Linked DNA regions of Xenopus tropicalis. The protein of the gene in region 1 interacts with the protein of each later gene in a pairwise test. Links are inferred from orthologs where the notes say so. Each region holds a gene or a part of one and is shown in the gene's direction. Other genes may lie near its edges.

Region 1 (8,219 bases):
ACAGTTTAATTGATTGAGCTAATATGTATGTATGTAAATTAGGATCCTGTCCACCTGAACCTTTTTGGGAAAGATTCTAATCCAAAAATTGTGGTTTCAGTAAATCTCTATAAAAGTACTTTGTTTCTGAATATAGTTTTTAAGCTAGTAGAGTATGTACCCTTGGGACACCATATTCTTACCTGTGAGCCACAGTCAAATGTAAAAAGACTTGGAGAGCAAAACAAGCACCATAAAAGTCAATGGAGGTGACAAATAAGGGCTGAGTTTGTCTATTTGGCAACCTCTATGCACACTATCAGCTTATATGAGGCTACTATCAGGAGGCTTTATTTAGTAGTAAATCTTGTTTTTATTCAATCAAAACATGCCACCAAGTCAGGAATTCAAAAATAACTCCCTGGTTTGGGGACAATGAGAGCAATATCAAAGGAGTTGGTGAGCAACATGTTGCTCACAAGCCACTGGTTGGGGATCACTGGTCTAGACAATAATTTTTTTACCTATTTTATCAAAATAAAGATATACAATTAAGATATTTTGTAAATTAAGGGATTTGTGCAACAAAGAAATGTGGCCTGTGAAATACTGATACAGACCACCAATACAATAAAAAGAAAACATACTCCTTGGAACCTCCATGGAAGTAACCTTTTGCTAAAGATTTTACAGTATGTGATCAGACCATCTCACCTTACAGCTATGATCACTGTCAGCTGTGTAAATGCTTAAACCTTCTACACCCACTACATTTACTGACAAGACAGATACTTATAGATCTGTCCTGTAACTTCTTTTTCACTGCCAGGAAACTACAAAATAGGAGCTCCTTACTGAAAGGCAACAATGGCAAAGGGTGTTTTAATCTTTACTAAAAGAATGGACTAGAAGGGAAGTAATTTACATAGGAAATGGTGTGGCATGTTTAACTTTATGGGGAGATGATATGTAATTTACAGAATTACCTCTTATCAGGACAGTCTTAGAGCAACGGCATAAGGTGTAATTCTAGGCATTTTGCTGCTTGAGTGTTAAATAAATTTGCAGAATGGACCAAAAAACACAGGGTTTGCCTTAACTAGTTATCAGTTAGAGGGAAGTATACACAGATTAAAAAAAAAAAGTCAAAGCCAGATTTGAGCTAAAGATGTTTTGGCTGGTTAGGCACTAGAAACAATTTTCATGGGGTATTCTCTGGATCTTCTAGACACTCCTTCTGGTGCAGTAATAGTTCAAGCAGATTTGTTGAGTAGTCTTAAAACCATGCTCATTAAGTATGGATTCTCTAAAGACAATTACACAAGTAATAAGATAAAAAAAAAAAGTGACAACATATTTAAAACATGTTTATGTGCACATGCTCATATTAGACAGTCACCAAACATATGTAGAATTTGGTGTGTTGGGTCAATAGCAACAAGCTTAAAACAGGGTGAAAGAGAAGTACATTTTCTGTGCACCGTGACCCTAATAAGACCTACCAAGAAGGAGGATACTGGACCTTTACAGGGTAAAGGGATCTATACCAGAAAGGCTTCCATGTGATAAACTATTATTTGGAACAACCTACTATAGTTTCATGGCATTCCAAAAAAATACAAAATGGAGACTTGTATCCAGATTTTATTAGCCAGGAGCAAAATATAAAGATGCGTTTATCCAGCAGTGGAACTAAAGGCTGGCCCTTGCTTGAGAAGTCATTGCTCATAATAGACCCCTGACAGCTAAGGAGACCCTGGTCCCAAAGTAGTGGGACAATGAACTAGTTCAAACATTCCAACTATCCCCTCCCCCCATATGTGTCTGCTTACTGGAAATTCCATTAATTTCTAATTAGAAGCACACACTCTACATCCTCAAATGCCAGAGCTTTAAAATATCTCTTGAATGATACAACAAAACATTTTCAACTTCTTTATAAAACATTAATTCTCACCGTCAGGCTAAATCACAGCAAAAGCTGTTGCAAAGCAACATTAACCACAAAAACTGAATTTTGGTTCTCCTTCCTCCTGTTTTTTTTTTTTCTATAGTTTAGTGTCCATGCATACAGACAGTCCTACACACTAGTAGCCCAACTGCCCAGGTACATTACTCAATCTAAAGTGGACAATGAGGGGGAGGATAAGACACATAGAACTTGCTTTAAAGTCACCATAGACCTTACTGACCTTTTTTTCCATAGCCTATGGCTCAGATCAGAAGCCAAAAATGGGTTTCTACAAATTATAAACACTTTAATGAGACAGCATCATTGAAGACGTACCAGGCCTTAATTACTAACACAGTCGGTACAGATCACCTGTGCTGCCAATCACCGGCAGCCAATTAGCTTTAATCAGCCAAATCCAGTTTAGAAAATAACCGCATGCATTAATTGCTGTAAATTACCACACTTTGGCAGGGTAACACCCACAGATTAAAGGAGTATATTCTAATTTTGAAATAATTGTATTTGTTTTATTTACAAACAACTGAGCTGATGTGAAACAAATGGAGAGAGTAAATGATAACTATTTAAGGCTATATAGCACAGGTTCCAGAATGCCCCTTAATTCAAGAGAGAATTTCCCCTTTGGCCTCACAAATAAATACACGGTCGCTTCTGGTTTTGGACAAAGACCAAGGATTCCCTGTGCTATAAGTCAGCAGCTGCTCACGGCGTTTTCTTTTACGAACCTAAATACTTGCTTGCCCGTGTGTCGCACCCCTAGTAGCTACCGGGAGCCAGAGAAGGGCTTGCCCGTGTGTCGCACCCCTAGCAGCTACCGGGAGCCAGAGAAGGGCTTGCCCGTGTGTCGCACCCCTAGCAGCTACCGGGAGCCAGAGAAGGGCTTGCCCGTGTGTCGCACCCCTAGCAACTACCGGGAGCCAGAGAAGGGCTTGCCCGTGTGTCGCACCCCTAGCAACTACCGGGAGCCAGAGAAGGGCTTGCCCGTGTGTCGCACCCCTAGCAGCTACCGGGAGCCAGAGAAGGGCTTGCCCGTGTGTCGCACCCCTAGCAGCTACCGGGAGCCAGAGAAGGGCTTGCCCGTGTGTCGCACCCCTAGCAGCTACCGGGAGCCAGAGAAGGGCTTGCCCGTGTGTCGCACCCCTAGCAGCTACCGGGAGCCAGAGAAGGCAACACGTGAGTTTGTTTCCATGTTTCCTGCGTGCTAAGCCCAACCCACTCCGAAATAGAAAGCGCCAATCAGAAGAGCCGAATTCTCCACATTCCTCCGTCGCAACCCAAACAATGAATAAACGCGCCTTAGCGTCTGCTTGCCTTTCATTGGAACTCGCGGGGGAAACCTGGCCAATCCAGATCACGTACCCAATTTTCCACTCCACTGATTGGCGTACAGCATAGGCGGGCGGGGCTAGCCTGCTACAACCCGTGTATTTGATCTGTGTGCGGAGGATTTGGCTATATTCCAAGGGGTCGCAGAGTGCAGGCATTTGTTTTGGGATTTTTGGTTTCCATAGGGTGGAAGTCCGTATTTCGGATTTTGTTTTGTTCTTAATCGTCATGGCGCCTGTCAAACACCGCAAGATTGTGATGTTGGGGTACCCTTCAGTAGGTAAGTGCTACCCCTCTATTTGGTGCAGTACAGACAGTTGCATGCTGTGGAGCTGGCACCTACGGGTGGGGATAAGTTACATTGCAAAGATGAACATCACAGTTTATGGGGAACCCGGGAACTACAGTTCCCACTGTCCCCTGCGGAACCAAAGTCTTGTTATCCAGTATATTGGCATTTGTGTGTCTAATTAAATGAATAAAAAGTAACACTGCGTGCAGTGCGATGTGGGAGTACTACTGTGGATGTGCTAGTGTTACACTAGGGAGGGAACTGCTGGTGATCTACCAGGGTCGGAGTGTGAGGCTATAAGGAGATAGTGGGGTAACTAGAGATTTGACATCAATTCTTTTGTATTGTGCATCAGATAGGCAGAAAGCAATACAAAAATGTATTATGTAATAGCATTTCCTGCGCGATTTGGTTGACCGGCGGCCAGTGTGTGTGTGTTGTGGTGACGATGGTGTGTAGTAGTGCTTCCCTGAGCAGGGGGGAGGGGGGGTTTCTGTGGATGGGCTCGGCTGACATGTTTTGTTAATGGGTGGGGGTGGGGTACTAGCAGGATTGTTCCAGGCACATGGCTCTGTTTCCTGATGACTCTGCGCAACGTGTATGAGGCAGTGATTCAGTAGGGCTATCTCCATGCTAAGTGCACCTGGCCAAACACAGCTGCCAGTCCTGTTTCACACACTCTATCAGCTCCACAATCACTTGGGTGGGGGGGAAGGAGCTCACTGAGTTATCTGTGTAAAGTGGATTTTCTGCTCAGCTTGTTCTTTAATCCCTGTGATTTGGCTGTTCATTCTCATGGGTGTTACCAGATGACTTGAAAGATAATGCAGTGGTGCTGATAGTAGCAGTAGATATGACGCAGGGCTTGTCATTACTTCTTTTATATGTGTGTAATGCATTCTTTTAATATTTTCATTTTGTTTCTTCAAGGCAAATCTTCCCTTGCACTTCAGTTTATTAAAGGAGATTTTCCTAAGGACTATGAGCCTACCATTGAAAACAGTAAGTGAAAGTCTGTGCTGAGATCCCTGACTGGCTGCCTGTATATTCTACCCCCATAGTAATGAATTCCCTCTCCCTGCAGCTTGGAGCAAGACCTTTGTTATGGGGAGTGATGAGTTTGAGTTGGATGTGGTGGACACAGCAGGGCAGGTGAGTTGTTTTCCACTTTTAGGAGCTTTTTCACATCCTATTGTTCAACAGCAAACTAACCTTTGTCATTTTTTGTTTTAAGGACGAATACTCTTTGTTGCCTCAGTCATTTATTTTTGGGATCCATGGATACATTGTAGTATACTCAGTGGCATGCTCCAGAAGGTAAGCTCTTTTTTTTTTTTTTTTGACTGTTATATATTGAGAGAGTGCGCCACCTACTGATGACTGAAGGTAATTGCCAGATAGACAAGTGTGATACAGGGTTGTCAAACATAGTTACTCCTACTCTGTTAAGCTGTTAGCAAAAGAAAATTTTAAAAACAAACTATAATATAAATATAAACAAATTGTGAATTACAAGATCATTTTCTTTTAGCTCTTTTGATAATTACTGTTAATAAATATGCATCTATAACTCCCAGCATTTTTAAAAAGGTGTTTGATGTAGTTCTTGATTTTAATTAAAATTCTTTACTCTCAGCTTTCAGATAGCACGTGCCATTCATAGCATTCTTGTGGACAGGAGAGGGAAGTGCCTGTAAGTATTGATATTTTTTTTTTTAACATCCCCTAGTTTCCTAATTATACCATAAGTACTGACATATTTTACAGCACTGTTCAAATAAAGATGGTATATATCGAACATTTAGTGATGTGTGAGCCAGCCTGAAACCCGCAGTAGCCATAGGTTACCCAGTAGAGATTTTGTTTTAAAAGACAAAAATTTGGCTCATGGCAGGAGCAGCCCTGGGCTTACCCATGGGTCAGGTGGGTTCAGGCCAACATCCATACAGCTTTTGGATGGGTTCCATGCTCCCTTCCTGCCTGCGATCATACTATGCCCCCCTTCAGCCCTGAGAACTCACTATTTATAGATCCTCACCTGAATGTCCCGCCCATTTTTTGACATCAGAAAGGGGCACGTCAGACTTTGGTTTATAAATGCCGAGACTCGCAGGGTTAGGGTTGGGTGTGGATGTGAATCAGGCGGGTTAGAGTCAGGTGTAGGTTGACCCACACATCACTATCGAACATATAGATTATATACAAAAATCAAAGAAAACTTTACACAACTTTGGAGTGTTGTATATGCCTTCCCACCGATGATTAACTTTATTGCTGGTAGAAAGGCATGTTGACTGCAGGAGCCAGGATGTAACTGTGGGTGACTAATCTCCCAGACAAAGATGTGTATTTTGGTGACTTCTCCATACATGTAAGACTTAAGGTGGCCATACACGGACCGATTTTTTACTTACAAACGACCGATTCCCGAACGATCCGATGCTATCGTTAAGTTATCGTATAGTTGGTGGTGTACGAACGATCGTCGGCCCACTAAACGAGCCGACATTATCGTCCCCAAAATCGATCGGCCAGGTTTAAAAATTTTGGTCGTTTAACGATAAAATCTGCCAGTTGGTGTGAGTGTCAGACATTTGTCTTTCAACGATTGTTCTCTGCGCATGTCACGATTGCCAGCAGCGGAAGTCAACGACATCGATCGTACGTAGATGTACGATCGTAGGTATTTTACGATAATGATGCGACAAAATCTTTCCCGAATTATCGTTGCCCGTGGATGGCATATCGTATGGGAACTCGATCGCCATACGATCGTTTGTCGATATAATCGTTCATCGCACAACGAGCGAAATCGCCTCGTGTATGGCCACCTTTACTAAGTACTTCCCCAACATCACAGTTTGCCCTTGTGAAGCCAAATGCCTTGAAGCAACAAGTTTCCTTGAAGCAATGTGTTTCTGCATCTGCACCTGAACAAATATAGCTTTAGGTGATTGGTAAAATTTTATATCATGAAAACTTCATGAATTTTATATAGATATGTTTGCTAATTTAATATTTTTAATGTTTTCCTTTTTTCTTTACAGCATGCCTATAGTCCTTGTTGGGAATAAGAATGATCTGCCAACTCACTGGTATGCTTTCAAATTACTCAATTATTTTGAATATTTAATTTAGTTTTTGATATATTTTTCAGTAAAATCCCACTCGTGTTTTGGTTATAGTGATGATTTTTGTTTTTCAAGTGTCTAAGGTCTGTCCTGAGGTGTAAGCAGCTAGTGCATATAGGCTATGTATGATGCATTTTTCCACATCAGTGCGCTGCCAACAATACAGGTCACCCTTTGGTCGCCATTGTCTTTGATCCTGCTGTGTCAAGTTACATTTTACTGTGTTATAGAATGTGTTATTCTTAGCAACTTTTCAGTTTGTCCTCATTTTCATTTTTTTTTGTAGTTTCTGAATTATTAGTCTTTCTTCTTCTGCCTCTTTCCAGCTATCATATGGGAGGAGGGAACTGACCCCAGCAGCCAAAACAATCTTTTCTATTCTTTATCTTTCTATTCAGTCCCTCTGATATTCATATGCCAGTCTCTCATTTAAACCACTGCTTGATCACTAGGATAAACTGTACTCATGCATAATTAAGAAACCATATGAAAAACAATTGCAAATTGTCATATAATTTGAATGTCTACATTATCTTCAAAGTTCACTTATAGGTGAACCACCCCTTTAATAACTCCTATGGCTACTGTGTTGCAAAAAATAGGGTCACTGTAAAGCCAATACAAGTGAATCAACTCTTTTGATTACTAAACTACATGGCATGTCACATGGTATAGCTGAATTACTAGTACTGCTGATGTTTTGCTTTGAGTTCTGATCTGAGAAGTTTTTTTTGTAACTTTTTTTTTCTTAACCTATTTTTGAGTAGCCGTGAAGTGAAACCAGAAGATGGGAAAAAACTAGCAGAGTCTTGGGGAGCTGCATTCCTGGAAGTTTCAGCAAAAGACCCTGAGGTAAATTGGTAACTATTTACATGCTTTCTTAGGCGTAGGCGCCTTATAACCAAGGGCCACATAAACAAACTGATGCTGTCCCTAATCTGGTGGGAAAATTAAACCTGCCCCATCGAGACCTGGCTAGTTTTAGGCGAGATGTTGGTCGGGCAGGCACGTCAGGGGTGCCAATACATGGGCGGATAAGCTGCCGGATCAGCCTGAACCCATATTGGGAGCTAAAATCTTCCTGTGTATGGCAGACTATATAATATGTGTATGTAGGTTTCTGTGCGTGAAGAGGCCATAGAAGTGGAAAGAGCATTTTCGTTTCTAAATAATCATTCCTTTGGCTGAATGCAGCTAGAATTGGTGTGTAAAAAAAAAAAATAATTTAATAAACCCCCTTCAACTTAGCTTAGATGCCCTTAAAATTATTGCTGCTCATTGCACATTTGCAATGTATTTCTCATACACAACTTAATTTCTGTTTTTTTGTCTGTTTTTATAGAGGAGTAAGCTGATCTTTACTAAAATGATCGAGGAAATCGACCGCGTTGAGCGATCCTTTGGTGAAGAGAAAAAATGCTGTGTCATGTGAAATTAATTTTATCCTCCTGCACCATCTGATTGGAGGAGCAGCAGAACTAAGTGTGAAGCCTGGTGGTTGTGACATCCCTCTGCC
Region 2 (7,498 bases), on another chromosome or scaffold:
GAATCTGTAGTGAATAGCCTTATTATTATTTATATTTTTTATTATTATTATTACTACCCGGTCCCTGCCCCAGTTGAGCTTACAGTCTAAGTTCCTATCAATGATATCAGTAGCCAGTTCATATTTTTGGAGTGTGAAAGGAAACTGGGGTACCTGGAGGAAATAACACAAGCATGGAAAGAACATACAGATCCCATGTGATAGAGCCCTTCATTCATTCCAGTAAAGGAGTGAGAATGAGTGTTACAGTTACCCATTGCTTATTTTTCTTTTTTATTTCTTAAACTCCAGGCACTCTGAGGCTGATATATATCATACTGAGGTCATTGTCTCTCCTTGCATTGACTTGCATTGCACATTTCTAGACACAGAAGCTGTGTAAAGATAAACCATGCTTTCTTTGCATAGCTTAAATAAGATATATGATTCAAAATTAAAACAATAGCCTGAGCCATATTAACCCTATTTATTAGTTGTACTTTTGGCTCTCTTACATATTTCCCCTTCATATAAAATACACTTTACACCACAACTTGTTTGCTTTGCAGTGGCCTGAGCCAAATATGGGTAACACAGCAAGTGATCGCTTATCTGGAGATCGGCATGGCAAGTCCCACCGTGCAGATGGAGCAACTGGGGGACACTCTACTAAGGAGCATGAGGAAAACAAAATCATGGTTGGAAGCACAGACGACCCAAATATCTTTAGTACTCAAGAATCTAAGGTATTCCAATGAACTGAAAAGCTATATGAGACTGGAGTGGGAATGTGATCTTTTAATGCCATAGGGGTCATTTACTATGACCCGAATGCTAGTGTTAGAAGGGATGCAAAAATACATTCCATAGTGCTTCTTCTAAAGAGTTTATTATATGTGGACCTCCTGCTGTTGAACTACATTTCTGAGAAATCCCTTGACACAAAAGGTAGATAGCAACAATAGCTGGAGACCCACAAGTTATTGTTTCCCGAGCTATAAATCTATTTCTAATTTACATTTTGGCAATGCAGCACCCTGGTGACTCAACGTGGCCCCAGGAATCAGAGGATCCTGGAAAATCAGCTCAGCAAGGTCGTCCCACTGTAATCCGTTGGACAGAAGGTGGCAAAGAAGTCTTCATATCTGGGTCATTTAACAACTGGACTGCCAAAATTCCACTGATTAAAAGGTAGTACAACTTACATAAAAATAGGCATATATTGGTTTTGTATTTTTTAGTTTACATGATTGTCTTACCTGTAACTCTCTAGCTGGGCAGAAGTCATACTTTTTAAACATATCAGGGAAGGCTTAATATTTTTTTCCCTAACAACAGGTAGCTTTTTTATTTGCACAGTGGCACCTGTTTAAATGAAAGCAGCCCAGGGGCATGTATACCTATAGAAATATTTATTAACTTAAAAGCTATATGAGACTGGAGTGGGAATGTGATCTTTTAATACTATAGTGCGCTCTTTCATCTACAAATATTTGTTTGAATCTTGCTAAGAAAATAAGTGACTTGTAGAGCTATAATCAATAAATACTCATTTTAAGAGACAAATCTTAGTTGTATAAGACTGTAGCTTAGCACTTTTGTGTATATTTGTTTATAATACAGAAGAGCCATGAATATACTATACATTATAAAGTAAATAATGTACCCCTATTGTAAAATATAAGGATATTAAAAGTCACCAAGGAGTTCCATGACTACATAAAAGCACAAGGCCCAAGGACACATGCTTTTATTCAGGTCATGGAACTCCATCACTAAGCACTGATTTTAACTGATGACATCACTAAGCACCATTTCTAAGTATATAATTTACAGGAAATTTGTGGCTCTTCTGTATTATATCCTTATAAATGGTGCTTATTGATGTTGTCAGTTATAATCAGTGCTTAGTAATGTAATGTCTGTCACAGAAGTTGCTGAAACTTGTGTAATTTCTTAAATATAGTAACCCCTGTTGTAAAATATAAGAATATTAATAGTCACTGAGTTCCACGACTTGTATAAAAGCACTTGGTTTTTTATTCACTACATGTTATTCATTCTGTCGGTTTAAACTTCTCATTTTTAAATTTGTCTTGTAGCCACAATGACTTTGTTGCCATTTTGGACCTTCCAGAGGGAGAGCATCAGTACAAGTTTTTTGTGGATGGCCAATGGGTACATGACCCTTCTGAGGTAAATCGGGGGAGAGCTGTAGCTTGTTTAGAAAGGCTATCCATTCACACTAAATCTCAAAATTCCACACATGAGAAGCTTACAGGGGAGAATGACTGTTTATTTGGCTGTGTTATGATGAGTTTGTGTGTTATGATTCCCAGTGTCATTGCACATAACTGTATCTGCTTAAAGGAGAAGGAAAGGCTAAGTCACTTGGGGGTGCCAAAATGTTAGGCACCCCCAAGTGACTTAGATCGCTTACCTTGTACCCTGGGCTGGTGCCCCTGTTAGGAGAAAAAAGCACCAGCCCAGGGTACCTGCAGGAAGCGCTTCCTTCTTCCTTTTTCTTCTGCCAGCGAAATCCGTGGGCCGGCGCATGCGCAGTAGAGTGAAAAGCCGACTTTCTTGTTTCAGTTCGGCTTTTCACTCTACTGCGCATGCGCACGCAAGCGAATAGGAAGTGGAAGCGCTCGCTGCTACCTCGGGCTGGTGCTGTTCTCTCCGTACAGGGGCACCAGCCCGGGGTAAAAGGTAAGCGATCTAAGTCACTTGGGGGTGCCTAACATTTCAGCACCCCCAAGTGACTTAGCCTTTCCTTCTCCTTTAAAGCGATACTGACACGAAAAAACTACTTTTTAAAATATGAATCTACATAAAAAGTTACCTATAGGTCATGTTGATCATTTTTCACTGATAGGGCTGCTTTTGTGAGTAATTGTTACTTGAAGTTCCTAAACCCGACTGTTTTGCTAACCTGACTGTCCCTTCTCAGCCTGTCAGTTATAGCTTCTAATGCTAACAGACTCCTGCTGCACAAATATTGCCGCCCCCTCATAGAGAAACATGGGGGATTAGATAGGTAATGTAAAAGCCTCAGGAAATATGTTTATGGCAAAATTATAAAGCTCATGCAAAGACAATGTTATGAAAGATGTAAAAAAGTTTTAATTTCTGGTGTCAGTATCACTTTAATACAGAACTGATCACAACTAGTATATATTTGCACATTTTAACCTTGGCCTTGTTGTGGTAAAATTAAATCATGCTTGTGCCCTCTTGTTGGATACTTTCTGTATGACAGAAAGTAGACAACAAGATATGTTTCAAATTTATGCATTATACACATCCATTTACACAACTTGAACAGAGCTAGTGCTTGTAAGTGCTAAATCATACTCTTAGGCTTTCCTAATATATGGAGAATGTTCTGACTGTTAAAGTGATAGGATTATACCAGTGGCTTCACTGCAAGTCTCATTCTCTCTTCAGCCTGTGGTTACCAGCCAGCTTGGTACAATCAACAACTTGATCCATGTTAAGAAGTCGGATTTTGAAGTATTTGATGCTTTAAAATTAGATTCAATGGAGAGTTCTGACACATCAGCTAGAGGTAGGAACTGGCATTCATTTGTTAGTTTGTAATACAACCTGTTATTCTACATTGGTAATCTGGTGCTTTCAATTGCATTGTTGCTAGTTACCCAACTGAAGCAATCAGCATGGCAGCCTATATACAATGAAGGAATGTTCTGCAAGCAATAAACTATGTGGTCACTTACTATCTAGTAAATACAGCCATGAACACTCACAGAAACGCTGCACTGAGTTCTCTGTCAAAAGATTTCTTGTGTCTGTTTTCCTCTGCTAGAGACATGCAGCTCTCTCCTCTCTCCCCTGTCCTGCTCCCCCCTCCCTCAAGAATGCTAAGAACTCCCTCCCCCACCATAGGAATGTGGATCTGAGCCAATCAGCAGGAAGCTTCCTCATAGTCTTACAAACTGAGCATGTACACCGGTCTGGGTCTGGGTGCAGGAGTGAGGCATTATGGGAACTTTTTTTTACACAGCTCAGCGTTTTTTCTTCCTGTTTGGCTTCTGATCGGGAGAAATATGGGGAGACTTAATGGCACTATTGAGAGAGCTGAAGGTATGCCTGCAGCTTGAGATTAACTCTTTATTAGCCTTTCCTTCTATGATTATCAAGGGGTGTAATATTTTAGGGAGAAATTATTTAATTTCACTCAGTCCATTTAGGAAGAAATTATTCCATTTCACACAGAATTCTAAATATTTTTGTATTAAGATTTAGTGCCTGTATTTGCTGTCAGTGGATCTGAAGATAAATGTATTACATATAATGATCTGATGCAGACTTGTTGCCCTTTTCACCTATTATTTTTCATTTTGTTTCTTGATAGACTTATCAAGTTCCCCTCCTGGACTTTATGGCCAAGAACTATATGCTTACAAGCCAGAGGAACGCTATAAATCACCTCCTATCCTTCCTCCCCATCTTCTCCAAGTTATACTTAACAAAGACACCAACATCTCTGTGAGTTTAAAGCATTATATATTTGAAGAAGCTCTTTATGCTTTTGTTAATGTTCTTTTACCTGGAGAAATTAAGATCCAAATATGTATTTTTTCTATTGCCCTTAATCCAGGAGCAGGCAAGCCAAGTTTTAGCAGGTATTTTTTAATAAAGCATTCAAAATAATAAATGGTGTGCAGGATAGGGCAATTATTGGGGCAGGGTAGAATAGATTTTTTACTTAAAAATGTTTAGTGTTACTTTTCCTTTAATGGGGCTACATATAAAAGTCTCTAGAAATGCTTTATAGTGTTCATAATGGCCAGGCAGCATGCAGCTTCGCAACATTTTCCAGACCAACCACTGATCCGCTCAGCTCTGAGGAACTTACGGAAGCAGATCCGATTCTCTCAGCCTGGCAGAAAAGCGCAGGGCTGAGAGAAGCTTCATCTGACCTCGCCCTTAAGCTGATAAATTTGAAAAAGTAGATTTGAAAGAATCAATACACCTATATTGCCCCCACAGTATAAAGAGAGAAATGTGTAGAACAGTTTTTGTGGGCACATCTTAATACAAAATCCATGTTTAATGCTGGCATTTCCCATAGGTCAGTATGTGGTTACACAACACTTCAACCCTTCTTTTATCTCTTTACTTAAAATTCCTAACATTCTTCTTAGTATTAGCAGAGGACAATCATTTGCTCCTACTGGTAACACATTTTGTGTTTTAAGTGTACAGACATGACTTGCAACACATGAAAAGTTTGAATATGAAGTTATGTTAAAACCTTCTCTAACACATGTATGTTTATTTTAGTGTGATCCTGCCCTCCTTCCAGAACCCAATCACGTCATGCTAAACCATCTGTATGCTTTGTCAATAAAGGTAAAGTTTTCTGTTAATAAGGGGTTAAAGGAAATATTTCAGACCCTAGTAATGCAGAAAAGTATAAAGGACTACCATACAGCTTAGCTGCCAGCATCATGAATATCGTTAACAATCTAATATTGTGAGATTAGACCTTACCACAGTAAAATTCACCCACTCTCTGTTCATTCCATTGGGATTTTTAGAGACGTATTTATCAATAGGTGAAAGTTAGAATGTACCATTTGATAAATACTCCTCTAAAAATACCACATGAAGAAACAGAGTGGAGTATTTTACAGTGGTGAGCTCTAATTTTACACTTTCATAAATATGCCCCTTCATGTGATTTACCTGCTCCTTTATTAAAAAAAACTGGGACAGTAACTCACAAGAAATAGGATTTCATGCATGCTGGTTGCATAAACGAAAGAGTGTGGGTCAAAGTAGTGCTAAAATATGAATAAAGCCTGCTCTGGAAAACCTGTGTGGTTAAGCCAAATCCCGGCACAGTCTCTTCCAGGACACAGTCCCACACTCCACTCCTGCTGGACACTATAATGGAAGCAGTCCCCGCGGTTGCAGGGGGCCCAGATTGCAGCGGTCGCAGGGGGTCTGCTTCCCTCCCCAGCCGCTCTTTTACCTATTCAACATAAGTGGCTGGGAAGTAGTGGACACGGGCGGGTGGAAGATTTTTTTGCCTTACAAGCCAGCGCATGAATTCTCAGAATTGCTTGAAAGTGCAAATTCATAGAATTACTACTTAGTTAAATGCAATGGGGGATGTGTTAACTGTACAAGAATAATGCAGTATACATTTTTATATTTCAGTTTATAGTTTTTATCTTAAACTAATCTTAAATCTTGTAACTGATCAATAATATTTGATAGTCATCACAAGCTAAGCTGACTGAATAGTTTCCCCTTATAAATGTTGGGGACCCACAACGCACTTAATGTACCAACCTTCTGTGATGTATCGATTTTTGTTTTTCAGGATGGAGTAATGGTTCTTAGTGCGACTCATCGCTACAAGAAGAAGTATGTCACCACTTTACTGTACAAGCCAATTTAGATTAGGCGCAGTTGTCAGTCTATCTATGTGTGTGGCATAAAATTGGTCGGATACATACCTTATGGATGAGCAGGTTGAACCAGTGTTTTATACTTGTTCTAAACCTAACTTGGTACGGTTGGCACATGGGAAGTGTTGCTAAAAATTATATGTTCATGGTCCATTTATTAAATAAGGTGGACTTAAACAGGAAGAAGTGGTATTTTCACAGTCTGTACTCCTTCCTGTGATGCAATAAGCAAACACCCAATATTATGCACCACTGACTCTTTAACTTTAAATGCAAATACTTTTTAGAACTAGCAAAACTAGAAGCTGATGAGTATGTTAAATAAAGGATTAAAATGATGGCAAGGTTGGCTGAAACCTGTCCTGGAATGGTGAATGGCACATTATTTTGTTGCCTTCCATTGCTGTCTTGAACCAAATTATACATAAAAACCCCAAGTAACATTTACAAATGCCCTATAACCGTCTCTTATATAGTTAAAGTGTTAATTCTCACATAGTGTTATGGTATCTTTGCAAAGTAGAACAAACACCACTCAGATGAGCATGTTGTGCGCCTAATTAAATGTGTCTGTATCTGAGAATGTATTTACCTCTACAGTGTTCTTTCATGTACAGTTCTGTGAATGGCTGGTTATAAACCTAACATTCTTAATACTGTCACTTGATTTCATGGTGTTAAAAGTGCCCTTAGCCACAAAATTGTACCTGTGTCATTAGTATACATTGTGGCACTTGTCCTGCTCCTTCTGTCCTGTTATCCCATGTTACATTTCTCTTTGCACGTTGTTATGCTGTTGTTTATAACTTGTAATCAGTGTTTAATGAAGAAGAGTTGGAAGGTGTTGCTTTGTAAGGTTTAATGTTACCATTGGATTGTGTTACAATGTAAAACAATTTCTAAATAATGATTGGGTATTTACACATTTAAGTGGAACCATGGGAGACAACTCCCTGTTTTGTCCATTATCTACTGATAAAATTGTTACCGAGTGCCTCCTGGCAGACGGTAAGCTAACATAGACAAATATTAGGGTAAGAAACTCTTACACATAATGTATTTAGATATGTCTGCCA
Region 3 (8,013 bases), on another chromosome or scaffold:
CTCCCGCTCCCCGCCCTCCACCCCAGCTACTTACTCCCGCTCCCCTGCGGCTTCCTCTGGCATCCTCCAGCTCCCCCACTGGCAACTTCCTTCTTCTGCGTCCTCTTGATCTGTGCCAGCTCCCCGCTGCATCTTAACATTTTATAAGGTTGCGCCCTGTGCGTACGGATGCATGGGGCGCAACCAATCAAATTTCCCGCTGGCCACCAATGAACCCATGACAGGGCCCGGAGTTCTTTAAAGGGGACCTGAGCTAAAAAACTGTATCACGGCTGGGCCCCCTATAAAGCAACCATCGTCCGGGCACGGGACAACTGTTTTCCCCTGCAATGCTTGATATCATTGCAGGTATTCAGATACATAAGATTTGCAGCATATTCAGAATAATGCACCACTGCAGAGGACCAGTATAGGGCAAGTAGAATAATATCATTAGGGTTTCCACCTTAAATGGCCTGGATCCCAACAGCAGACCTGGATCTTGGAAAATAATTTAAACCTGATACCCGTCACTACTGCGGTCCATTCTCTAAGGCAGCAGAGCCTTTTAGGAGACTACACCCCACTGTCTCTCCTGGTTGGAGCACAAAGAGCTGCTCTTACAAACGATGACTCACTATCTCACTTTCCTAGAGTGCTATTAAAGAATCAACCTGCTCTTACTATTCCTCATTCACAGGGTCCTTGCTCCCTGACTTCATTAGAGAGATTGACCTCCTCTAGGGCTAGATGCTTCGCTGTGTTGATCTCAGGCTCCCTAGAATACATTCACCTAGGTCAAGAGACGAAGGCCAAAAAGGAAGAACCACCCTAGCCAAACACTATATTAAAGTGTGGCAGGAAGTGGTCATGGGCTAATAATGCAATAAATATATAGAGAAATAGAAACATGGGCATCTACCCAGTAAGTGAACAGGGTGGGACTGGGCCACCGGGCTACATGGAAAAAACCCGGTATGCCCAGACTCTGTGAACTGCCTGCATCTGCTCTGCCCCCAACCACTCCTACTCAGCACAGCAGCAGCAGTTACCCCTTGAGTTAAGTACCCTGTGGGCCATGGGTAATCCAGTCCTACTTCAACAGCAAAATAAAGATGTGTAGTTTTTACATGTTACCACAATACAATAGCCTACACACACCAAGGAAAAGCAACTAAAAACTGAAGACTACTTTTTGCTGGTAACCACCACCATACCTCCCAACATTTGAAAAATGAAAAGAGGGACAAAAAGATTTGGTGTGTGCAGCGCGGCAATTTTTTGACCACGCCCCCTTTTGTGGCCACGCCCCAATTACTGCACCCCATTTTTAAAAAAATACCCCTTTTATATAGATCAAATGGCGGGCGCAGATGAAAATGTGCTATACCCTCATACTGAACGACCTAAGGAAAACAATATAGCAACTCCTACATTAAAATACAAATATAGAGAGAAGGCAGTCAGTTATAAGTGAGTTATAACTAAGTACCAGTTTTGCCCCCCCATACACAGTGCCCCCATACACAATAGTCTCCCATACACAGTGCCCCAATACACAGTACCCCCCCCAATACACAGTACCTCCCATAGGCGCAGCCTTCGTCTGCGGCTTTGTTATGCCTCTCCTTGTGCAGCGCGACAGGCCCTTTTATAAGGTTGCGCTCCGTGCGTAATGACGTCACACCCACAGGCGCAACCTTATAAAAGGGCCTGTCGCGCTGCACAAGGAGAGGCATAACGAAGCCGCAGAAGAAGCAAGAACATCTGGCTACAGCAAGCGCATCCCGCTGTGCCGGATAGTTCCATGAATGTCCCGCAATGCGGGACATTCATGGAACTATCCGGGACAGCGGGATGCGCCGTAAAAAGCGGGACAGTTGGGGGGGTATGACCACAACCAGGAACTTAAAAGCCTTATTTCTCTGTTCCCTGTGCCTGGCATAAGCTAAATCTATTTAAATTTAAATAGTCTAGTCTAATCTAGTTAATTTAAAGGTTCTGTTGGGGCATAGGCTCTAGCTGCAGCTACTGGGCTGTGCATATAAAGAAAAGAAACAGCACATGTTCAACTCAAGTTCCATCTTCCTTTGACATTGGCCTCAAGGCAGCTACGTGCTGCGTAACCACGTTTATAGTATTGATGTGACGTCACCTTCTCGCGAGATGAGACTTGCGGTGCGTTGGCTCGCTGTACGGCAGGAAGCGAGGGGCTACACGGCAACAGCACCGCAAGACTTTTAAACAACCGTACGGGACTGCGGACTGTATTAGTTAAATCAGCACAGTTGGGTGGTATGTAGCCTATATATATATATATATATAAGGCTTTGGGGCAGCTTGTTGGTATAACTCAGGAGCTTGCTATTGATTCACATGAATTTGCACCAATACTCACCCAAAGTGGCCTTCAGGCAATCCCCCTGCCTCTACTGCAGCCCCACATTTCCCAGATTCATGTCGGATTGTTACGAGCAGCATTACGCTACAATTTGTATCCTCATCTGTAAACTATAATCTTGGGGGATACTTCGGACTCTTTAACCATTAAAAATATTTAAAATTTGCCCAGATAATTTTTAATTGAAAGTATTAGCATGTTAGCCTGTCAGTGTAGATGGGAGTATGTTTGTATCTTCACGCATTTGAGAAAAGTGTTTCATTTCTTGCAATACTTCTTTTCTTGTCCTTTTAGCTTTAAAGCAAAGCTGCCAAAATGTCGTACATGCTTCCTCATTTGCACAATGGCTGGCAGGTCGACCAGGCAATCTTGTCTGAGGAAGACAGAGTTTTAGTTATACGTTTTGGCCATGACTGGGATCCAACTTGTATGAAGATGGATGAAGTTTTGTACAGTATAGCTGAAAAGGTAAGATATATTTATAGCAGTGTATCGAAGACCTGCAGGTCAGGTGGGTTTGGATTAAAAAAGGTTCAGGCAGGTAGAAGGTCCAGATGCCTGTATGTATGGGCCTGCCGCCTTATCCCCTACACCTGCCTCTAAGCATTCCTCCAGCAGCTGCCCCCCCCTTTGGGGACATAAGTGGTGGGGACCCCCCACATGTGTGATTTCTCTAGCTGGTTCAAGGCATAGTTAAAAATGGTTTGGCAGGAGTGGGTCTTTTTCATACATATTAATATAGATTCAGGCCTTCTCCTATTTATCTTCAAGCCAGTGACTGGAACCACTGACTGGTTACTTTGGTCAACACCCCTACTAACCAAATAGCAGTGTAAATAAGAAAATGGAGCTCTACAGGAAACATGTTGATCTAAAGTCACAACCAGGAGACAGAGGGTTATGGTGATGCCGCTTTTAAACAGAGTATGGAGCATATTCAGCTTGAACTTAGGATGAAGAAAGTAAAGGCTAATGCACGACTCAAATACATTTGCAAATTTAAGAGAAAATAACTAGGAAATGCTCTAGTGGTAAATTATTCTATATAAAAAGGGGATCATTTCTTTTACCAGTTTAGTTGGTGATCATTACAGGGAGCCTTAGTTTAGAGAGAGGGGTAGAAGAGCAAAAATTGTGACATCATTCCATCAAGTAAGGGTGCTGTGTAGGTTGAGGCCCCTTGGAATATTTGTTCATATGTTTTCTGAGAACGGTGGGGGTCATTTATCAACACTGGGCAACTTTGCTCTTGAATAGTAACTCATGGCAACCAATCAAGTTGTTGCATTCATTGTTCTAAATGCAGTTAGCTGAAAAAGCCAATCATGGATTGGTTGCTATGGGTAACTGCCCAAAGGCAAATTTGGCCAATGTTGTGTGAGTGCTAATGATTCTACATATGGAACCTCAAAGATTAAGTATTTTCATGTTTGGAAATAAAGAAAAAACATAGAAAAGGCGAGATTCTGTATATTCTGTGTTATTTCACAGGCATCCCAAAGCACATACACTGCCTTGCTGTATTTGCGTTCGAGGTCTACTGTCTGGGGTGATTGAAGATCACAGGACTGGGCCCATTAATCGAATATCTTGTGATGAAGTATGTTATTACTATATATCTATTTTGGTATTTGCCTACATTTTTAGTTAGAACATAAAAATATAAATGTTAAAGTGGACCTAAACACCCCAAAAGAAATTAATGTAAAATTGGTAGTATGCTCTTCTGAGCACTTTTATAATGTACACTGATATAATGAATTTAAAACTGCAGTGCTCTGTTAAGGTAGTTACTGAGCAGAGAGGTTTCCTTGGTCAATGATATTGCCTACTGAGTAACTCAGTAACATCATTTTATGATGGCCAGCTGATCAGAACAGTAGGGAGCTGTGTGGTTTCAAATAAATTATATTATTATTGCAAAGTGCTTATATCTTAAAATGTTCAGTGTAAATAGTAAAAGTGCTGAGAAGAGTATTCTGAGCAGTTGTACAGTATTTTGCTTTTTGGGGTGTTTAATTCCCCTTTAAGTGTGTGGAAATTGTTTATTGATTATGGTGTTTCTTGTTACCTCATCTATGGTGCCGTAACTGCTGTTTTGAAGGTATTTCTTCTGGTGCAGAGATAAGCTAGGTGCTTAGTGCATTACCACATGGCTAGATCATGCTCCGAGTGATAAATGGTGCATCATATATGCATTTCTGTTATGCTGACTTGTGTTCTGTCTGTATCTAAGCTTTTGGCTGTTGCTGTTTTTTAAGTTACAAAATATTTTATGCTTTTTTAAGACTGTTCTTACATCAGTGTTGGTATGAAATATTAGCCTGCTAGGTCATGATGAAGGCAGATGCTGAGTGACAGCACAGTTAGCTGCATTATTTGGTTAATATCTGTTGCCTGTGAAAGAAAGTTATCCATGTGATTGAAGGATCTTTTTTAAGGGGGGGGGGGGGGGGGAGTATGATTTGTATTTTATTCCTACAAGTTATGTTTTAACATTTACCAGTCAGACTGTACAGTGCTGTATTCCTTCACTACAGTGTTTTTATCTTCTCCTTCACAGCTCTTTTATTTATTTTTGGATTTTTAGAGATTAGTTAACATTTTAGTTATTAGTTATCATTGTATAAAAACTCACCCTTTAATAAATATAACTGTAAAAATGTTATACAGTTGTATTGAGAGTTTTGAATTTCTTTCTGGGGAACTGTGTCAAGCTGTATTTAACCGCCATTTAGCACTCCAGAGAATGTGTTTCCACTGTTCTGAAGTCCAGTGGCGATGGCATTTACAACTTTTGTTTGCAATCACACTTTATGCTGTTAGTTTTGTTTGCCTCTGATTGGCCAACAACCCTTGGTGGCATTGCTTCCAGAGAACTTAGCAGCTCTGCTGTTGTGTAATGCTCACAACACACATAAATAAACACTCTAATCCTCAGAAGTCAATCACTTTTATTTTATTTATCCTTGGGGGGGGTCTGTTTGGATGAAAACCACTGATTAATCTGATTGCTTCTAAAAATGATTAAAGGAAAAGTAACACTAAAAGTAAAAAAAAAAGTAAGTACTAAAGTAAAAAATCTATTCTACCTTGCTCCAATAATTGCCCTATCCTGCACACCTTTTATTATTTTGAATTGTTTAATAGAAAATACCTTCTAAAACTTTGCATCCGGTCATTTTAAATACGGCGATACAGCGATCTTCCCTCTGCTCAATCCACTATGCGATAATCGACATCTCCTCTTAGCCTTACTTCTGTACAGGCAAACCATTGACTTCCGGTTTTGGAGTCGGGCAAGGAGGAGATGTCGATCGTCGCATAGTGGATTGTGCAGAGGGAAGTTCGTTGTATTTGAAATGACCGGATGCAAAGTTTTGGAAGGTATTTTGTAATAAAGCATTCAAAATAATAAACGGTGTTCAGGATAGGGCAATTATTGGAGCAGGGTAGAATAGATTTTTTACTTAAAAAATACTTTTCCTTTAACAAACAACATATAGCTTTGCAGATTTAAAATTCATCGGGGTTGTCTACTGGATAATACATACAAACTTCAAAAACCTATACAAAATTGTTTGTTTTTATGTAAAAAAAAATAAATACTTAAAAAATAAGTCATAACACCTTAAAGAATCAGTAACACCAAAATTTTAAATCAACAAACATTTCATTTTACTGCATTATTTACTTTTTTGCATCTTGATTTGTTAACTATGCTATTTAAGGGCGGGTTGTCTGTATATTTAATATGGCTGCGGGTAAAGGATCCCTTATCTAGGAACTAGTGATGTGCAGGCTGACCCGGTACTTGTGGGTTGGCCTGGTTTGGGCAGACCTCAGCAAAACATTTGCGGGTGGGTTCAACCCAGACATCACTATTAGAGACCCATTATGAGAATAGCTCCAAATTACAGAAAGGTCATCTCCCATATTCCCATTTGTGATTGTTTAAAATGGTTTCCTTTTTCTCTGTAATAATAAATTAGTAGTTTGTACTTAACTAAGCTAAGGTAACTAAGCTGCATGGATCCATATTAGTGGTAAAACAATCCTATTAGGTTTATTTAATTTTTCAATTTATTTTTAGTAGACTTATAGGGACAGTATACACCTAAAACACTTAAGTTTAAAATGAACACTGTAAGACTGACTGTAACAATGAACACTGACTTGTGTTGAAATTACAGTCTGCTTATTGTTTAAATTAAAAAAAACCTCACATTTTCCTTTTTTTTGTAATTATAAAGCATTAATTTGAAAGTTAAGGTGGCCATACACGAGGCGATTTCGCTCGTTGTGCGATGAACGATTATATCGACAAACGATCGTATGGCGATCGAGTTCCCATACGATATGCCATCCACGGGCAACGATAATTCGGGAAAGATTTTGTCGCATCATTATCGTAAAATACCTACGATCGTACATCTACGTACGATCGATGTCGTTGCTGGCAATCGTGACATGCGCAGAGAACAATCGTTGAAAGACAAATGTCTGACACTCACACCAACTGGCAGATTTTATCGTTAAACGACCAAAATTTTTAAACCTGGCCGATCGATTTTGGGGACGATAATGTCGGCTCGTTTAGTGGGCCGACGATCGTTCGTACACCACCAACTATACGATAACTTAACGATAGCATCGGATCGTTCGGGAATCGGTCGTTTGTAAGTAAAAAATCGGTCCGTGTATGGCCACCTTTAGGCTATTTTCACAGTATTTACCTCCCCACTTACTTTATAAAAAGGCAATTTGTTCCCTGTCTACCATTGAACAAACAAACCCCTCCCTTTTTTAAGTAACTCATTAACAGGGGATTCTCAGTGGACTGAGTTTTTTATATTCTTTATTTCAAGCAGAAATGGGGTACAGAAAGGAAAAAGGGTTAGGTAGGTTAAGATAAATAGTGGACTGAGTTTTATGAGCTCCTCTGAAATTCTGTGGGATCAGGAAATATTAAAATGACACTGGCTTCATATTCTCGTTTAGTTCCAGAAATAACAGAAACCATAGATATTGCTTATTTAAAACAATAGGCAAAAAGTTTGTTCAGCACAAGCCCTAATTGTTGAGCTCATGTTGAAAAGGGGAGTGTGCTGTCCCTTTAAGGCAGTGATCCCCAACCAGTGGTTCGTGAGCAACATGTTGCTCCCCAACCCCTTGGATGTTGCTCCCAGTGGCCTCAAAGAAGGTGCTTATTTTTCAATTCCTCACTTGGAGGCAAGTTTTGGTTGCATAAAAACCAGTTGTACTGCCAAACAGAGCCTCATTTAGGCTGCCAGTCCACAACGGGGCTACCAAATAGCCAATCTTAGCCCCGATTTGGCACCATCATGAACTTTTATGATGCTTGTGTTGCTCCCCAACTCTTACTACATTTGAGTGTGGCTCACGAGTAAAAAAGGTTGGGGATCCCTGCTTTAAGGTATGGTGATCCAAATTACTAAATGATCCCCTATTCAGAAATCATCCGGTACTAAGCATGCTGGATAAACAGAACTACATTTTTCCATAAGATATATGTTTATTGCTAAAACTTAATGCAAATCTATTCTAGAAATATTGTGTGTTGCACTTAAATACATTCATATACTACTTCCATTTTGTTTTGTAGGTTAAAA
Region 4 (8,195 bases), about 53 Mb from region 1:
ACAAAGTAGGAGGAAAAATTTTGTCTCCCCCACAGGGGGCCTGGGAGACAGGGGGTCCCAGACCGCAGGGTCTGCTTCCTTAATGGTTACTTGTAAATCCCCATTCCCTGCCGGCTCTTAGATAGGAGAGCGGGAGTTTATAAGCAACAAATGGTGCTGAGCACCAAATCACCCCTGTAAGCATTAGTCCCTTTTGCATCACCTTCCAAACTAATTTTACCGTCTAAGGTTTAGCAAAAATGCTCATCTTAAAAAGAGGCATCATTGGTTAAGCAAATGCTTCTAGATTATACTGTAGCATCCTGCATACTTAGACATATTATCATGGGTTAAAGCATGCTGGGCACTGTAGTCCAGCACCATACAGATTAAATCACTATAGTAGAACTGCTTATAAGGTTTTTTCTTTGCTTTGTAATCTCGTGACCTAATGAATGCAAGAGGAAACTCTAGTGAGGATTCTGCTTGCTCTGTCTACACATGACTTCCTGTTCTTTGTTCACGCTTTAATTTTTCCTGTTGTCAAATATCTAAACAGCATTATATCCATATTGTTTTATGTTCGGTCACAGTGGCCAATTGAGCAGATCTTTGCCCAATTTAGCCACAAATTTTTTGTTTTTAATTGGTTGGATTTAATCACTTGGTACCTGGGACATTTTACATGGGACTCTGTGCATATCTGTAACGAGACAATTGCATAGTCCAATGCACTCTTGTATGTTATGTTCCTACCTTTCTGATAAGATATTGATTGGGTAGGCCATGCTTTTTTCACATACCCATGTCACTAGGTCAGGAGTAACCAATATATTGCCATGTTTAATTACATCTAGGGTAATGTAGTTACACACAGACGTTTTTGGTTGATAAGTGGCCAAAGTCACTGATGCTTCCAGTTTTCTGGTATAGGAAACATCAGCTGAAAGATGCAGAGAAAAAGCCCCTTTTGCCATCAGCCTCAAGTAGGGCATTTGGCATTGTTTAAGAGGGTACACGGGGAGATTAGTCCCCCCCGCAATTCGGCAAATCACGGCACCGCGTATGCCATCCCACCGGCGATTCACATTCTAGCCGGTGGGATGGCATACGCGGTGCCGCGATTTGCCGAAGTCGCCGAAGTTGCCTTGATTGGAAACTTTGGGCGACTTAGGCAAATCTCCACACCGCGTATGCCATCCCACCAGTGATTTACATTCTAGCCAGTGAGATGGCATTGCGGGGACATTAATCGCCTGCGACAATGGAGATTTGTCGCTCTGTTTTCTAGCTCCATAGGCAGGGGACAAAATGCCACTGACTTTGAACAGCAAACACTTAAAAGCACAAGTACAATTTCTTGACAAAGAAGAGAAAATTGATTATGCAAAATGCTGTTTGCCACATTTTCTAATGATAAATTACCTTTCAAGAAAGTGCTCTGATCATGAAGCTATACAAATGCCCAAGCACAATGGTATTATATTTCATAGTTTGTATTTATAGTCTTCATTTATTTTTCAAGGGACATAAAGCCTTCATAACAGTGTTGCTGTACTGGTCTCTTCAGCTACACACCAATAACAATTTGTTGGTTTTACCCAGATCTGTTATCTGGGAAGCTCTAAAACATGTCATATGCCTATGCCTATTTAAAAATAAATTCTTGACTGACTTGCTTTTTTATGTAATAATAAGACTGTACTATGATGTCTACTAAGCTTTTAGAAGTGCATGCTTATGGAAAAATAATACTCTTTTTAGTATTAATACTTCTTACACTAAGCTTAATATATTTTTGTTTTTTTGTATTTCTGTTTAGTAGCCATGAGGACTGATGCTCCAAATACAAGAAGACCTCTAACCAAAATATACTTTCCTGAACATGGCAATATACTATTTCATCCTGAACTAACTGAGCTCAAGTTCATAGTGCACTGGACAAGGGCTGCCATCAGGGAGGGGCAGTGGGGAGTCCAGTCAAGGGCCCTATAGCATAGGGGGTCCCTGAGACATTTGAAGGTCCGATCATGGGTCACAAAGGGGTGGGCTTGTAATGGGAGTGGGCCATGTCTGGGAGTCAAATTAAGCCCTGGCAATCTAAGTGCAGAGGCCCAAACAGCCCCACCTGCCCACTAAATAGTGATTTTCTATGGCATCTTGGAGCAGCCCCTCATTTGCCTGAACCCACAGATTGTCTGGAGTGGGCATACTCTAGGTCAGTGATCCCCAACCAGTGGCTCATGAGCAACATGTTGCTCCCCAACCCCTTGGATGTTGCTCCCAGTGGCCTCAAAGCAGGTGCTTATTTTTTTAATTTCTGGTTAGGAGACAAGCTTTGGTTATATAAACACCCAGTGTAATTGCCAAACAGAGCCTTCTGTATGCTTACAGTCACCAGAGGGGCTATCAAATAGCCAATTATAGCACTCATTGGCACCACCGGGAACTTTTTTCATGCTTGTGTTGCTCTCCAAAACTTTTTCCATTTGAATGTGGCTCACAGGTATAAAAGGTTGGGGATCCATGCTCTAGGTAAAATGAAATGATGCTGGGGCTGAATGGAGTCATTTCCCCAGGAGCAGATAGCATATACTATGTTAAAAAGAAAAGATACATATGGGGGTTTGTACCCAACTACTTTGCATTTAATTGAATTGCACCGTTAGCACTGAGAAATGCTTTTTATTTTGACATACTGAAGACAAGTTGAGGCACATCCTATTTAACAGGCAATAATAATTTTAGAATTCTGCAAAAAGCACAAAACCGTGATTTGTGTCCTAATTTTGCACTTTGCCTATTGCGAAATGAGCCCTATGTAGATTGTAAGAGCCTATAAAGCTTGCTCGTCAGGGTGATATTTGACAACATTCTTATCCGCTGCAACAGGATGCGACTACACTTCAGTTGTTGGATAGCAGAGCGGCTAGCAGGCCGCTTCCTATTGGACTGCACTGGCCAACGAATACAGACAGCACTGCGCTTAAAGAGCTGTAACTTGCACGTAATTTGTTTAACTATAAATATAATGTATATCCTCTATACACTTATTTCACCTCTCTACAGCTAGCTCCAAGTTTTTAGCCAATTAGCTGCTGCTCTATCCAGCAGTCAAGGGGTTACAGCTGGCCGAGATTTTCGAGCCAGGTACTAGACTGGTCATTGTCACTCCTCCAAGCCCCGCCCTATCCCAGAGCACAGAGCGGGGTGGGCGTGACTTTCCTATGCTAATAAAGCGTACCTTAGGAATTAGGGCTAGTCCTGGGAGTTAGTCATTTCCTCTGTGAGTAAGTGATCGGTACTGTACTGTGTGTCAGCCAGCGCTGAGCGTGCTTCTCTGCATCTCATCTGCTTCACTGCTGCCTGCATTCCTGCATCTGCCTTTTGGAACTCAAGAAATAAAAGGTAATTCGTAAGCTTTATTTTCTCATCATATCTCATTTATAGAGCTTTGTGCTTTTGCATTTCTTGTGCCTTTGCTAAGGGCTGCACTTTATTAACCCCCGGCAGCACTGTTCTATGCACGCTTAAAGTTCCCTTTATTTTATTTGCTGTAGTAACGCCGAGCTCGGTGCCTTCTACTATCGTTCTGATTCTATTGTTGAAAACGGAGCTTCCTCTGGTATTTGGCTTTTGTTTCACGAAATTCTAAACCATCAAGTGTCAGGTTTAACTACAGACTGGGTATTATTAGAAGTATCATCTGTCTGTGTATGTCTGTGTCTGACTCCTGTGCTGGACCCTAAGTTTGGGCATTGTTCTGTGGTATGATACTAGAATTGTATTGCTCATACCCTGCTTAATTCAGCTGGGTGTTTAAAACCCATATTGATGAACAGATTAAAAAAAATGAACAGTTCATTTTTCAAAAGCCCCTATCTGCTCCTAATTAAATTTAATTGGAATTTTAAAGACAGTATGTTCTGTAGGCACTGGTAAGCAAAGCGCTGTTCTGATCATCAGAGTCAATGACCTCTGGGTTTCCTGTTTAAAAAAAGTATTTGTGATGAATGTTAAGCTGTGATAGTAAAGTCCTCTGCCTGTTGCATGTAGTATAAACTGTAGCTATAGGTGCGCTATCTGTAGAAATCTTTGCATGTATGTATATATATGTATATATAATTTTAATCAAAATATATATTCTTACATACAAACACCAACATACCTACAAGTGTTATGCTTACTGTTTTTGCTGTATTGTTTGTTCTCTTTTTGGGTCTTCTGTGCCAGTTGCAGTACATGTTAATTTTAATACATTTAGTGCAAGATATAAAATACAGCTCAGCTAAGAATTATGAGAAACATAAAATTGCTAATAAAATAGCAAGCTTTTTTGTTTGTATTGCCATTATTAAACACTTCTAAAAGAGTAGAGTGGGAATAACTGCAGTCTTTAATGAGTTATCAGAGTATACATTTTGTAGGAAGAGTTGTCTGATATGTAATTATTGTATGAATATTTATTGCTAAAAACAGTTTTAATGTATGCCAAATACTGTATATTTGGGACAAAGAAAACTGCTATTGACCCCATTTATATTTGTATGGATAGGTGTACTTGATGGTACTCATGTGAATCTCATAACTTCCATACTGACAGAAAGAAATAGCTGTATTGTGTCTGGGATAGTACATAAATGATACATAATCAGAACCTGTATTTAATTAAATTGAAACAGAAGACAAGAATTGTTAACTGAGCAAAGCAAGCAAAACCATGTTTAAAATTTGTATGTATAAACTGGAGCTGTTCTAAGACAGAAAACATATCAGGTGGTAAAGATGCTACTTCATATTTCTGACTGATGAAAATGTATTAGAATGTGAGTATTTGCATAGAAACACAGACAGGGGGAGCTCTGTTCAATCCAAAGAGAAAGTCTGCCGGCAAGCTGCCAAAATATACTGTATAAAAATACGTTAATGATTTTTTTGCTTCGCTCTTGCTGCTGACATGTATAAACTCATAAGAACTGGATGACGAAATTCATTTTATAGATAGATCACCCAGTGCCGAGATAAAGCCTTCCTCTTTAGAAGGTCTCTTGCACCATACGTTGTGGAATACATTATGCCATCACATATATAATCCATTATATACACAACAATCAACCAAGTCCTTGGACAAAGGAAGGGATCCATGCATGAGTGAGTTTCATTGCTTAGGCTTTGTATTTTTCAAACACAGCATACAAGTACTTTGAAGAAATAAGATGTACAGAGGTGACCATACACTAGATGATTCTGTGGCTATCCAGTTGGTCACATAATTAATCAAGACCATTGCTTAAAGTAAAATAATTTTACCGGAATATCCTACAGCTTAGGGCGGCATGGTAGCACAGTGGTTGGCACCCCTGCCATGCAGGGGGTCCAGCCTTTGCATGTGGTACTATATAAATAAAGAATGCTACTACTAAGAGACATTAACCTGTCTACTAATATTTTAGATTTTTTTCTTGCAGCTGTCTGTCACTTAGAAGTTGGGTAAAAATGTGTATATGGAATTTTTAGCTGTCACTGTGCTATATCCGGTTGAGCGATATGCTCCAGGAAGGGTAAATAAAGTAAAAAAAATAAATAAAGTAACATCTTTATGGAAAACTTAACACTACTCTATAAGCTTTGGGCCTGACTGAAGAAGTAAATGAGACACTGGTCAGATAGTGAAAGACACTACAGAATCTACAATGACTTTTTGAGTGGATATTCATATCACACTGACTATGATGTCTTATTTATCAAAAGAAAAAGCAGAATAAATGGTGGTCCAAAACACACATGAAAGGATTCAGTATGTAAGACTAAGTAAGAATAATGGTTGATTGTAGAGAAAACCTGTAAGGACAAAATGGGAACAAGTTTGTCTTTTAGCAGTTAGGTTACACTGTACAAGTACAGTTAGAATAAGGAAGGCATGTATGTGATTGATTGTTATAAGTTACTGTTTCCAAGCAAATTTTCACCTGTGTTTCTATAATGTCCAAGTTTGTTTGATAATGGTGCATATCGGATAATATAGTATGCAGTCAGTGTCAGATATTAGCTTTTTTTAGGAAAGTTAGGACCTCACAGCAACTAAATCCCTGTCATGGAACTGTATGATGTAGCTTGAATCAGAAAGGACCAAACTATAACCCAAAACCATTTGGCAAGCTCTGGATGTTATTGATGATGTCAAAATATCAAGTTTGTCAGAAATTACTTATCTGGTCCACTGTGATGATGTATTGGCATATAGCTGGTAAAGCAGATAAGATGCTCCATTTGCTCAGCAATAAAACTGTGCCAGGCAGAATATTGTTACTACATAAAGCTTGAGCTGTGAGTGTCTCAGCTAACACTCACTTATAGTTTACCCTTCCATAATGGTTTTCCAGTGACTTTTTGATAGTGTTTCGCAATAGTCATATAAAACACCCAAAACTTTGAGAGCCAGAGTGAAAATTTAGGTAACATGGCTACCTGACTTCTGGGATTTGTCAGGCCATTTTCGTTATTGTATATTTACAAATTCCAATCTTTTGGTATCATCTGGAAACATGAGAAGTGTTTTTGTCCACCCTCTTTGCAGAGGTCACCTAAACAGATATTGGGATTCTAAAAACTATTTCCCAATCCAACTGGTACGGGAGTAGAGGTCACTGAAAGATGAGAAGCTATCACCCTGCTGATAACCCAAGAAATGTCAACCAAAAGAGATTAAATAAGGGTTAGTAAGGGCATTGGGGGTCATGGACAGAAATACTTGTCAGTGTTCAAGATGATGCAGTATAATATTTTCTTCCAGACCTCATTAAGGTACTGCCCAACAGTAAATTTTGTGTCTTTGTTATTATGGTTACTGTTGCATGGCCTTAGCAACAAGACTGGAAAATATATCTAAAAAACAAGTGATATCTGACTCATTCATGAGTAGGACTGGGCATCTTTCTAGCACACAGATGTTTTGAGTTAGAATTCCAGTCAGTCTCAGAGTCCCAGTGGTGTGTACACTGGCAACCACTCTTTCTCCATTGAGTTCAGTTATTAAGCCTGTGCCACACACACTTCCTGCAACAGGCAATTTCCTGTCCGTGGTACAGTAGCCCAGATGAGATTACAGACAGAGAGTGGCTTTTCTTCCTGAGTAACACAAGGCTACTTTTTAAGAGATCTCAATTTTTCATGGTCACGTGTATTTTAGGGGTACTATTTTCATTGTAGTCTCCGGATGAAATAATACCCTATTTTCCTTTGCAAAAGCAAGGTTTTTTTTGCAGATTCAAGTTATGTAATAGCATACTTTCCCTCCAATTGTTGCTCTGTAGTCGGCGATTGGCAAATGTGCAGAACAAACCTATCTTTGTCCTCTTGCTTTTCACTGTCATTGATGGGAGGGGGGAAGAATGAGACAAATTGATGATAAGGCAGAATTTCATCCAGCACACAGTTGCCCAATCAGTGGACACAGTTGCCCAATGCCAACCACTACAGCTATTTTGCTGAAAAAGAATCAAAATTTTTTTTGTTTAGTTTTTTAAATAATTGCTGAAAGTATCCTTTACACAGTTCTCCCTGTTACGGGCAGGAGTAAAGTCATTAAGATTGCGGCCAATTGAAAAAGAACGTTTTGGTGAATTTAAAAAAAGATATGCATGGTTTTCTGCAAAATAACCACAACTGTGATGTTAAATGATTATGCCAGTTCTGATCTTCATCATTCCCAAGCAATCCTTGCCTGACAAGGCCAGTGTCTGATACAGTGAATTTCCCATTATTTTGAATGAGATAATGGGATGCTGCTGCAAATAAGGAAAGGCATTTTGAATACCATGGTTCTCCCCAAGAACAGTAGTGGTCAAAACACCATATGTTCCACATATCATGCAGGGAGGAAATGTGACCTTTAAGATGCCATGCAGATACAACATGTGAAAATGCCTGTAACTAAATGTTATCTAAGCTACATAGACTAACATTTTTTGGTGACATATTTTTTTTTTTTTACATATACAGGTATCGGACCCCTTATCCGGAAACCCATTATCCAGAAAGCTCCGAATTACGGAAAGCCTGTCTCCCATAGACTCCATTATAATCAAATAATTAGGATTTTTAAAATTGATTTCCTTTTTCTCTGTAATAATAAAACTGTACCTTGTATTTGATCCCAACTAAGATATAATTAATCCTTATTGGATGCAAAACAATCCTATTGGATTTAATTAATG

What was found.
Region 2: the proteins of rhebl1 (region 1) and prkab2 interact in binary tests that used the Homo sapiens proteins (3 or more experiments, as listed by UniProt). The link is inferred for Xenopus tropicalis from reciprocal best matches to the Homo sapiens genes RHEBL1 and PRKAB2.
Region 3: the proteins of rhebl1 (region 1) and txnl4a interact in a two-hybrid assay, tested with the Homo sapiens proteins (2 studies listed by BioGRID and IntAct). The link is inferred for Xenopus tropicalis from reciprocal best matches to the Homo sapiens genes RHEBL1 and TXNL4A.
Region 4: the proteins of rhebl1 (region 1) and fhl3 interact in binary tests that used the Homo sapiens proteins (3 or more experiments, as listed by UniProt). The two-hybrid records come from large-scale screens. The link is inferred for Xenopus tropicalis from reciprocal best matches to the Homo sapiens genes RHEBL1 and FHL3.

The regions. Positions count from the first base shown.
Region 1 is NC_030678.2:136,446,198-136,454,416, reverse strand, and holds the start of rhebl1 (GTPase RhebL1), read left to right. Parts: upstream 1-3,436; 5' UTR 3,437-3,508; coding exon 3,509-3,560; intron 3,561-4,502; coding exon 4,503-4,574; intron 4,575-4,656; coding exon 4,657-4,724; intron 4,725-4,806; coding exon 4,807-4,889; intron 4,890-5,208; coding exon 5,209-5,265; intron 5,266-6,619; coding exon 6,620-6,667; intron 6,668-7,470; coding exon 7,471-7,555; intron 7,556-8,045; coding exon 8,046-8,135; 3' UTR 8,136-8,219.
Region 2 is NC_030680.2:118,095,518-118,103,015, forward strand, and holds part of prkab2 (5'-AMP-activated protein kinase subunit beta-2), read left to right. Parts: intron 1-548; 5' UTR 549-563; coding exon 564-725; intron 726-1,012; coding exon 1,013-1,170; intron 1,171-2,081; coding exon 2,082-2,175; intron 2,176-3,426; coding exon 3,427-3,547; intron 3,548-4,354; coding exon 4,355-4,488; intron 4,489-5,286; coding exon 5,287-5,355; intron 5,356-6,334; coding exon 6,335-6,412; 3' UTR 6,413-7,498. UniProt on the Homo sapiens protein: Non-catalytic subunit of AMP-activated protein kinase (AMPK), an energy sensor protein kinase that plays a key role in regulating cellular energy metabolism.
Region 3 is NC_030682.2:96,971,280-96,979,292, forward strand, and holds the start of txnl4a (thioredoxin-like protein 4A), read left to right. Parts: upstream 1-2,682; 5' UTR 2,683-2,695; coding exon 2,696-2,848; intron 2,849-8,006; coding exon 8,007-8,013. UniProt on the Homo sapiens protein: Plays a role in pre-mRNA splicing as component of the U5 snRNP and U4/U6-U5 tri-snRNP complexes that are involved in spliceosome assembly, and as component of the precatalytic spliceosome (spliceosome B complex).
Region 4 is NC_030678.2:83,929,943-83,938,137, reverse strand, and holds the start of fhl3 (four and a half LIM domains protein 3), read left to right. Parts: upstream 1-3,276; 5' UTR 3,277-3,387; intron 3,388-8,195. UniProt on the Homo sapiens protein: Recruited by SOX15 to FOXK1 promoters where it acts as a transcriptional coactivator of FOXK1.